Linked DNA regions of Callithrix jacchus. The protein of the gene in region 1 interacts with the protein of each later gene in a pairwise test. Links are inferred from orthologs where the notes say so. Each region holds a gene or a part of one and is shown in the gene's direction. Other genes may lie near its edges.

The links. The genes of interacting proteins can lie anywhere in the genome.
Region 2: the proteins of JADE1 (region 1) and YJU2 interact in a two-hybrid assay, tested with the Homo sapiens proteins (2 studies listed by BioGRID and IntAct). The two-hybrid records come from large-scale screens. The link is inferred for Callithrix jacchus from reciprocal best matches to the Homo sapiens genes JADE1 and YJU2.

The regions. Positions count from the first base shown.
Region 1 is NC_133504.1:68,404,189-68,409,783, reverse strand, and holds the end of JADE1 (protein Jade-1), read left to right. Parts: intron 1-806; coding exon of another isoform or gene 807-865; exon of another isoform or gene 866-925; intron 926-1,229; exon of another isoform or gene 1,230-1,406; intron 1,407-2,429; coding exon 2,430-3,340; 3' UTR 3,341-4,061; downstream 4,062-5,595.
Region 2 is NC_133523.1:4,012,651-4,018,135, forward strand, and holds the end of YJU2 (splicing factor YJU2), read left to right. Parts: intron 1-516; coding exon 517-667; intron 668-3,285; coding exon 3,286-3,398; 3' UTR 3,399-3,800; downstream 3,801-5,485.

The DNA.
Region 1 (5,595 bases):
TTGTGCAATCATAGTTGATACACTCTTGTTTTTGTGCATTTGTGGCTTTTTGTCACTCTATCTAGATTATTACAGCATATAGAGACAAAAAGTAAGTTGTTATAACCTGTTGCCCTCAGTCCAAATTCTGGTTTATCTAACCAGTTATGTGCAACTAGAGGGAGCTGGGTCAGCTGAACAAATAAAAAGTTTAGGGAGGTTTAAATGATGTTCTTGAAGTGTTACATAGTTTGAATGCAATAACTTATTGATATCCTAGATATTTTCTTCCCATGATTAAGTATTTTCCAGATGAATCAAGTGTTTATCATTAGCTGCAACTTGGAGTTTGTTAAGATTTTAAAAATAAATTTTCTAAGTAGGGTGTCATATGTAAAAGTAGTTTGATTCAGAGTCTCTACAGTGAACTCTCTCTTCATGATTCCTACTTGAAGACAAATAAATGAGATCTATTTAATGCCCTTGGAAGACTATCTGGTGCAGATCATCGAGCCTACAGCCAGCAAATGCTGAGCTGGGATCACTAATGCAAGTTGTGTCTGTGGAGTTGTGCCATCGGAGGGCTTTCTGCAACTCTTAAGGCATTATGTAATGAGTGATTACCTGTAAAAATAAGCCATAAAGAGCATTTTCATCTGATTTCATTCAAGTTATTTCTCGTGGATATTGTAGGCAGGTTTTTGCATTTCATGGCTGAGGATTTTACTGGGTGAGCGAATGATAGTAAGTTTGGGAGTTGTTTTGTGGTAACATAGTTGTAATGTAGATGTGCATTCAGAAGTCTTACTATCTTCCTACTGTTTCAGAAAACGAAAACAAATCCTCCTTTCATTCTGAGATGAGAACCATAGGTATGATCAGTTGAAAACATTCATCTTCCTGGAGGATGCTGCTGAGTAAAGCTCCCAAAACCCTTTAGGTGCTTTTTTTTTCTTTTTCCAGACCAAGGCTTCAGTTGTGTTCTTATTTATGCCTAAAGGCTGTCTCCTGTCTGCAGTAGAGCAGATGGTCGTGATTTATGTGTCATTTAGGGTCCATGGTTTAAACTGTGTGATTCTGAGAGTGGGTAGGGTTATTTGGCTGAGTGAGAGTGTCCTCAGTGGAAACAGTGCATATGGGGGGAGGGTCATGAGTTGGAGGCTCTTTAGAGACATGGGTTACAGTCAAGGAGATAGAAATCAGAGTTCAGAAAATGTTAGCCTCTTAACCATTCTCTTTTCCCATGGCAGGTGATGGAGTAAAAGAAATATATTCAGTGTGATGTGAAGGTTGATTCGAATGATTGATTCTTGAGAAAGCAGGCATTTCCAAACCAGCAGGTTGTAAAATACCTCCTCCTGTGGTCATGACAGCTCTGTGTTCTGAGTCGCTAGCTATGTTTCATTTGCTTGCAGTGTTTGTGTCTGGTGAGCACTAGGTTCTCATGGCCTCCTGTCTCATACGGGGCTGAACCTTGTTTTCTTGGTGGTTCATATCTTATGGGAGACAGAAAACATGAGACTTGCTCTTGCGAGATGATCTTGAGGCTGCTGCAGAATCATGGTCTTTATGATGAACTCTACTGTGCTGTGAATTCACCCATTGGGGTAACAACTCATTAGTGAGTTGTGAGATGAATTCAGTGGGTCATGGCAAGCATTAAAAATAAAGTATAATAGAAAATGTCAAGGTGCATTATCAAGTGACGAGGATTAATATTATTTCATGAAATGTGAACTTTTACTAGGTAATGCTGTGGAATTTAGTCTTACTGAGATTTGCATAAAAATATTAAAAAACATCAGTTTAACTTACTTCAAGTTGAATGACAGTTCAGTTGAATCCCACAAAAGTATTTTGCACATAATAATAGTGAGTATTTTTTGGAACACTTATGATATATCAGTAATTATTTTAAACATTTCCTTTATTCATTTCACGTTTACATGTATTTATCCTCACAATAACCCTGTTGAGGGTATAGACACTTTAGAGAAACTTAGAAGCCCCAGTACTTGCTTTTTGGGTACACTCAGTCTCGTGTGGGAGGCATAAGACTGGACAGTGGAGAAGTGTGGCGCAGTGGCTGTTCTGTAACCAGGAAGGGGGCAGAGGCAGCCATCAGGCACCTGATGGGTTCTGCATGGAGTCCCCTTTGAAAATCAGATCAGTTACTTTGGAGGAACATGTATTATTTGAAGAGTAACAGTTTTATGAAAAATTATGTGAGCTTCAGCTGTTTTAGAAAATGGGGCATACTGAATCTGCAGACGAAATGCAGGTTTTCAAGGCAGGTCATATCTTTACTATAAAAACCAAATTTGTACAAACTTGGCATTGTATTGTTGGGTGGGGAGTTCACATAAATTGGGCCACACTAAGGGTCTAGAAGTTTATTCTTTTGAATTTGCTTCTGCTGTAATTTTTGTTTATTTGTTCTATGTTCCTAGGTGTGCCTTCTTCTTCCTGCTCCTCCTCCTCACTGGAAAACATGCTTTTGTTTAACAGTCCTTCTGTGGGCCCTGATGCTCCCAAGATAGAGGACCTGAAGTGGCATTCTGCATTCTTCAGAAAACAAATGGGTACTTCCTTGGTTCATTCACTGAAAAAGCCCCATAAGCGAGATCCTTTGCAGAATAGCACTGGAAGTGAAGGCAAAACCCTGCTGAAGCAGCCAGACCTGTGTGGTAGAAGGGAGGGGATGGTGGTCCCAGAAAACTTTCTGGGTATTGAAAAGACCTTTGCAGAAGCACGTCTCATATCAGCACAACAGAAAAATGGTGTGGTGATGCCAGACCACGGGAAAAGAAGAGACAATCGTTTTCATTGTGATCTCATTAAAGGAGACTTAAAGGACAAATCTTTTAAACAGAGTCACAAGCCTCTCAGGTCCACAGATGTGTCCCAGAGGCACCTGGACAACACAAGAGCTGCCACCTCCCCTGGAGTGGGGCAGTCAGCACCTGGCACAAGGAAGGAGATCGTGCCCAAGTGCAATGGCTCCCTAATCAAAGTAAACTATAATCAGACCACAGTCAAAGTGCCTACAACACCTGCCAGCCCAGTGAAAAACTGGGGAGGATTCCGGATTCCAAAGAAGGGGGAACGGCAGCAGCAGGGAGAGGCCCATGAGGGGGCCTGCCACCAGCACTCAGACTACCCATATTTGGGCTTAGGCCGAGTTCCAGCCAAGGAAAGGGCAAAAAGCAAATTAAAATCTGACAATGAGAATGACGGGTATGTCCCCGATGTGGAAATGAGTGACTCAGAGAGTGAGGCATCAGAAAAGAAATGTATACACACCAGCAGCACTATCAGCAGGAGGACAGACATTATCAGGAGAAGCATCTTGGCTTCTTGATGCAACAGAGATGATGTGGAAGCCCTTTGGGCTTGTCATTGGGTGTGCTAGAGGAGAGCTCTGATGGGGGGAGAAGCAGAAACCCATTAATCCTGATCTACACAAACACATTTACTTGCAATTCAGATTAAATTTTTTTTCCAGAGTCATTTTAAAATCATTTTTGTGAGAAGTTTGTGTTATTTGCAACTTGTTGAGGAAACAGAAGAGTAGATTGTAACCATACAACACTGCTAAGACTAGAACCCGAACTAAACACTAAAATAAGAATGAAATAAATTTTAAAGAGGGCAAGGCTTAAATAAGCCTCCTGAATTTTTACAGCCCTCTGCATTCTTCCCAAAGCACAAACTCGTGGTTACCTGAATACAGGGAACCAGATACGGTTCTTGAGAAACCTTCATGGTACCATTCACAGCCCATAAAGCTTATTTTCTAGGACTGTGGTAGATCTTGAAATCATATTTATATTTGGCCATCAAGGCTATTTTTGTTACATTATAGTATACAGGCAGCAGCTCTGAAGCTTCAGTAACACTAGGGAATTTATGTGTAAATATAGCAGTCAGGGAAGAGAGTTTTAAAAAAGGTCATTATTGGCCGGGCGCGGTGGCTCAAGCCTGTAATCCCAGCACTTTGGGAGGCCGAGGCGGGTGGATCACGAGGTCAAGACCGTCCTGGTCAACATGGTGAAACCCCGTCTCTACCAAAAATACAAAAACTTAGCTGGGCATGGTGGTGCGTGCCTGTAATCCCAGCTACTCGGGAGGCTGAGGCAGGAGAATTGCCTGAACCCAGGAGGCGGAGGTTGCGGTGAGCCGAGATCGCGCCATTGCACTCCAGCCTGGGTAACAAGAGGGAAACTCCGTCTCAAAAAAAAAAAAAAAAAAAGGTCATTATTGGAGGAGCTGAGGGGACAGGGTGGAGCTGCTGCAATGTGGAGATTTAGGGCAAATGTAGCAAGGTCCTGCTGCTTGAAGCCTGTGAGTAGGTTGTGGATATGGGACTGGTAGAGAGTGAGACTGTTAGGAAAGTTGTATCTATGAATAAGGGCAGTTGAAGTACAATTTTTATCAGTCTACTTGACCTTTCTCTTCCCTAGCCACTGGCTATGGAGCCAGCTTGGGATTTCCCTGGCCATTGCCAATACCTGGCCATCTGGCTTCCACTAGTATAACAGCTACTCAAGTTCAAGTGAAGAACTTCCAGACTCTGGTGACTCTTACTTCCCAGAGCCAACCACTAGTGCATATACTGGGGAATCCGGGCTTCCAACATGAACGGATTCCTTAAGAAAAAGGAAAAAAAAAAAAAGAAAAAAAAAAAAAAAAAGAAAAGAGAAAAGCGAAATAGGTTATATTTTAAAAACAATAGAAAGGCAATAAGTTGCGATAAGCTCTTACTATTGACCAAGGTTATACAGGAAAGAGATTGAAGTGTACCCTTGAATAGGTTTTCTGTAGTCAGAGTTCTAAACTCTAATTCGTAACTTGGACTTTCTAATTGCAAATGGCAATAACTAGTAAGTTATCAGCAATAATAAATTTAGCATTAAATTTGAGTACAATGTTTTGTTTTTGCACTCACTGTAGTGCATATGTATTAAGACAGTGGATAGTGTTTAGGTCCTGTTAATTTTTTTTGGAATTCAATGTGGTTGTGAATCAAACTTAAGGAAGTAAAGTTTAAATAGCAATGAGATTTAGAATTATGGGCATTCGGAGCAAGCCCGACTTCCCCAAAATTACTCCTTAGTTTGTTAATACCAATATTCAGATTCCTGATTCATTTATACATCTGTTTCCATATGGCAGGGACATTATGATACTTAATGAATAATGCTTTGAGTTCTGTAGTTAACTTTCAAGTCTTCCAGATGATTGTCAACAACAAAAAAGGCTTATTGAAATCCATCTTGCTATGCAAGTTTTATCGGATGATCAAATAGTAGATCTGATGCATCCCCATTGTATGTATAACATTTTCAAACCAAGTCTTAACTTTTCAAATACATTTTAGTAGCTAATTCAGGGGAGGGGAAAGAATGATGCAGGTTTTTAGATTGACTATTTTTGAGCTATGGGGCTCATTTTGAAAGACTGCTGTCCAGATCAGCTTGTTGCTACAGATAATAGAAGGTTTTATGAATCCAAGTTGTATATTCACTTGTAGCATAATTTAAAAATTAGATTTTTTTTTTTTTTTTTTTTTTGCATATGAGCAAAAACCTTTTCCTGGATACAGGAGAAGGTTGG
Region 2 (5,485 bases), on another chromosome or scaffold:
AAGCAGCCTCTCCATTTTGACTTGTTCCCTCAAGTACATTGATTAAGCACCTTCTTGTGCTGAGAACTGTGGCACCACAGAAGCAGCAGTGGGGAAGACGGGCTCACAGTGAGTTAGGGAGAGAGTTATAACAGCCAGCAGAGGGCACAGTGAGCATGGACATGCAGCCTGCATGTGAGCTTGACTCATGATGGGCTTCTCAGAGGAGGGGTGTTTTACGTTGGGTATTGAAGGGCGAGTAGGAGTTCACCAAGGGAGTTCGTGGAAAAGGGGACACCCCTGGTGAAGGGAATAGCATGGGTAAAGGCACGAAGCTGAGAAGCCACAGTGTGATTCAGGAAGTGCCAGACCAGGTTATGTGGGATGGGGAATGGGCAGAGGCCTTTAGTGCTTAGCCTAGGGCAGTGGGGAGCCATAGAGGAGTTTAGAGCAGAAGAGGAATGTGGTCAGTGGGGCAGTGAGCATGGGTTGGGGGCACAGGGGCCAGACCCCCTCACATATCCCTATCACCTACAGACCCCAAAGCCCAAGAGGAAGGTGGAGATCTGGGAGCAGAGCATTGGCAGCCTGGGCAGCCGGCCCCCGCTGTCGGGGCTGGTCGTGGTGAAGAAGGCAAAGGCCCACCCGGACCGCAGCAACGGGCAGCCCCAGGCGGCCCCAGCCCCAGGTAAGGTCACCGAGTTTCCAGAGCCGGGCGCGGTTTCTATCGTGGCCTCTAGGTGGCGGCAGCGCTCCCAGTGCAATTAGGGAGCCTCCATTGGGTAGGTGGGGGGCAGCATCTGAGCCCCACAGGACCAGTTAGTGGTGAGTAGAGAAGTCAGGCGGCTTCTTTTTGTCTTTTATTTACAAAAGGAGCCAATGCTTGCTTTTAAAGCCCAAGTCACGTGGGAGTGTGCAAAGTAAATGTCAAATCCGTGCTTCCCTATGCGGCCTTCACTGTCCGCAGATGCCAGGCTGCCCCGTCCCCTTCCCCGGCTGTCTCTACAGCATGCGTGGCTCCGCTGTCACACACCTGGTGCTCTGCAGGGGTGAGAGCCCCACACCCCCAGCCCCGGGTAGATGGAGGATTGGGGTGCGGTCAGCATTGCCAGAATTCGGAGTGGAGCAGCCCGGGAACAGATCCCTGCAATTTCCCTTGGCTTATCCTATGGCCCTGGCCAAGGACTTCCCCCCAGCAGGGTCTCAGTGTCCTGTCCTGTAAAATGCAGCTAAGGGGACCCACCTCACGTAGATGGGATCAGTCCCCAGGTTTGGGTTGATTCTGTGAGTGCTGGCAGTTGAGTAGGCCCTGGCACACGGCGAGCCTTGGAGACGCTCGAGACATTTTTGTCAGCACTGATAAAAATTACGCCATTTGGCTGGGCACGGGTCTCACACCTGTAATCCAAACGCTGGGAGGCCGAGGCGGGCGCGTCACTTAAGGCCAGGAGTTGAAGACCAGCCTGGCCAACATGGTGAAACCCTGTCTCTAAAAAATACAAAAATTAGCCGGGCACGATGTCAGATGCCTATAATCCCAGCTACTTGGGAGGCTGAAGCAGGCGAATTACTTGAACCCGGGAGGTGGAGGTTGCAGTGACCCAAGATTGCGCCACTGCATTCCAGCCTGGGCGACAGAGTGAGACTCCATCTCAGAAAAAAAATTGTCCTGGCACAGTGGCTCACGCCTGTAATCCCAGCACTGTGGGAGGCTCAGGTGGGCGGATCACCTGAGATCGGGAGTTCAAGACCAGCCTGGCCAACATGGTGAAACCCCATCTCTATTAAAAATACAAAAACCAGCCGGGCACTGTGGCTCACGCCTGTAATCCCAGCACTTTGGGAGGCTGAGGCGGGTGGATCACGAGGTCAAGAGATCGAGACCATCCTGGTCAACAAGGTGAAACCCCGTCTCTACTGCTTTGTAAAAATACAAAAATTAGCTGGGCATGGTGGTGCACGCCTGTAGTCCCAGCTACTTGGGAGGCCGAGGCAGGAGAATTGCTTGAACCCAGGAGGCGGAGGTTGTGGTGAGCCGAGATCACGCCATTGCACTCCAGTCTGGGTACCAACAGAGAAACTCTGTCTCAAAAAAAGAAAATCAGCCAGGTGCAGTGGCATGTGCCTGTAATCCCAGCTACATGGGAGGCTGAGACGGAAGAATCACTTCAGCCCCAGAGGCGGAGGTTGCATTAACCAAGATGACAGCATTGCACTCCAGACTGGGTGACAGAGCAAGACTCCATCTCCAAAAAAAAATTATTTGTAGGGTCCAGCCCTACAGGGTCCTGTGAGCCCCTCTCTGCTGGTGTGAAGATGAGGAACTGTGGAAATAAAACCCACAAGACACCAAGAAAGAGAAAAGAGAGTTTGGGCCCAGGGGTCCACTTCCAGCCAAAGCGCGGAGGCCAGCAGTCACCCCAAGTGCCTGGACGCTCTTGAGTACAAGCAGTGGGCAGGGAAGGTAGGCTGAGGGAGTGGTGATCGGTGATAGGGTCGGATAAATCACATGTCTTGGAGATAAGCGTCCGGGACTTTCAAGGAGCCGAGGCAAGGAGATTTTAGACCAGCGGGCGCTTTCCCGGCTCTGGGGCTCCCGCACAGCCGAGGCGCCCTCCAGCAGCCTTACGCGGCGTGACAGAGGCTTGGAGCATCTTGCCCTGGGGTCACTTTGTTCACGATGTCACCTCAGTTCCGTGCTTCATAACCCAATAATCATGAGTAAAATAAGGGTTATGCTGAGTATATATCTTTATAAGTGAGTGACCAGAGGATTATATATGATTATAGAAAGGATTTACTATGGGCCTACATTTCTAATTCTTTTCTAAGTTAGTATTTAGATGGGAACAGGCTGAGGCTTCACATCCTTGCCATGGCACCTGCAGTGTCCCCCCCACAATTATTCCTTTTGTCAGAGGAAGAGACTGCAGGTCAGAGTGGCTTTCACAGCCGGGTGCAGAATCCGTCCCTGTTAATTGCCTTAGTGGGATTTTTCCTGGGGCGGTTAGGTCCTCGGTGACTGCACCTTGAACTTGGCTCCATTTCCAGTTTTTGCAGCGCGTGCTGCCTGCCTCGGCAGGGGCTTCCATGGGTCCTCGCTCAGAAGTGAGCTGTCGAGTCCAGAGTGTGCCGATGTGACTGCGACAGGTCCCATCAGGTGCCATCCAGAAAGGCCAGGCCATTCGCATGCCATCACCCTTGGGCCTTGCAAACCCGCGGAGGTAGCCGGCTCCGTGCTCCAGGCCTTGTCCCTGGCCCGTCCAGTCTGGAGCTGAGGTGGGCTAACTCTCACTCTCCCCCCAGGACCCCCACAGAGCAGGAAGGAGGCCGACCCTGCGCCCCCGACGCCCGGCGCGTCCTCCCTGAGCCAGCTGGGCGCATACCTGGACAGTGACGACAGCAACGGTAGCAACTGAGCCGTCCTAGGACCCCCACACCGGGTCAGGCTACAAGACCAGCTTCCGCCACATCGAGGCCGGCGTTGCTGGTGGTCGGGGCAGGAGGCTTGGGCGTGACCAGAGCCCCAAAGGACAAGCGCCAGCGTGCTCCAAGCGCATAGGGCCAACAAGGGCGTCAGCCCCAGGATGTCACTCTTCTCTGCCCTCACCAGCCTCTCAACACCTCGGGGACCCCTGCTCCTCCTGCCCCACCCGTCCCTACCTGTCACTGTGCTCAGGGCTGCGACATCCCTGGAATCTCAGCTTCCATCTCTACTTCAGGGTGGCGGCATTTGGAGGATGGGGTGAACCTGCCTCTAGACGGCCACATGTCTTCCTTCCACAAACTGTCAGAACCAATAAAAGGAAACCTGCCAGCCAGCCCGGGCCGCCTCTCTGTCCTGGAGTCTGATGAGAAAGCCCAGGACAAGGTCTCTGTTAGCGTCATTCCAGGGTTGGTCCACAGAGGCTTGTTTATTTTCTTTGAGACAGAGCCTCGCTCTGTCACCCAGGCAGGAGTGCAGTGGTGCGATCTCAGCTCACTGCAACCTCCACCTCCTGGATTCAAGGGATTCTCCTGCCTCAGCCTCCCAAGTAGCTGGGATTACAGGCACCTGCCACCACGCCCAGCTAATTTTTATATTTTTAGTAGAGATGGGATTTCACTGTTTTGACCAGGATGATCTTGAACTCCTGGCCTCATGATCCGCCCACCTCAGCCTCCTAAAGTGCTGGGATTACAGGCATGAGCCACCATGCCTGGCTCACAGAGGCTTGTTTTTTTTTTTTTTTTTTTTGAGACAGGATCTCACTTCTGGACTCAGGTGATCCTCCCACCTCAGCCTCGAGATTATCTCGGACCTCAGGTGTGTGCCATCATTCCTGGGTAACTTTTTGTATATTTAAGAGAGACTGAGTTTTGCCATGTTGCCCAGGGGACCTTGAATTCATGGGCTCTGGCAGTCCTCCTGCCTCAGCTTCACAAAGTGCTGGGGTCACAGGCATGAGCCACTGCGCCTGACCCAGAGTTTTAGACTTAATTGTCACCTGAGTGTGCCGAGGCTTACAGTCTGGGCTTTGTTCTTTTCTCTTTTTTTTTTCTTTTTTTCTGAGACGGAGTTTCGCTCTCGTTACCCAGGCTGGAGTGCAATGGCGCCATCTCGGCTCACCGCAACCTCCGCCTCCTGGGTTCAAGCAATTCTCCCGCCTCCGCCTCCTGGGTTCAAGCAATTCTCCCGCCTCCGCCTCCTGAGTAGCTGGGATTACAGGCACGTGCCACCATGCCCAGCTAATTTTTTGTATTTTTAGTAGAGACGGGGTTTCACCATGTTGACCAGGATGGTCTTGATCTCTTGACGTGATCCACCCGCCTCGGCTTCCCAAAGTGCTGGGATTACAGGCGTGAGCCACCGCGCCCAGCCCTCTTCTTTTTTTTAAATTTATTTCTTTAAAAAAAAAAAAATTGAGTCCCTCCATGGCGGCTCACACCTGTGATTGCGGCACTTTGGGAGGCCCAGGCGGGCGGATCACAAGGTCAGGAGTTTGAGACCAGCCTGGCCAACACGGTGAAACCCTGTCTCTACTAAAATACAAAAATTAGCCAGGCGTCATGGTGTCCACCTGTAATCCCAGCTGCTCGGGAGGCTGAGGCAGGAGAATTGCTTGAACCCGGGAAACTGAGGCTGCAGGGAGCCAAGGTCACGCCACTGCACTCCAGCCTGGGTGACAGAGCAAGACTCCATCTCAAGAAAAAACACCAATTGAGAAACAGGGTCTGCCCATGTCGCCCAGTCTGGACTCGATCACCTGTCTTCAACCAGCCTGCCTGCCTCGGCCCCCAGAGTCCTGGGATTATAGGCACATGCCACAGTTCCTGTTCTGGGCAGAGGTTTTTTTCTTTTCTTTCAGGCAGGCTCTTGCTCTCTCCCCAAGGCTGGAGTGCAGTGGTGCAGTCACAGCTCACTGCAGCCTCAATCTCCCTGGCTCAAGTGATCCTCCCACCTCAGCCTCCCAAGTAGCTGGGACTAGAAGCAGAGCCACCACACCTGCCTGATTTTTTAAAATTT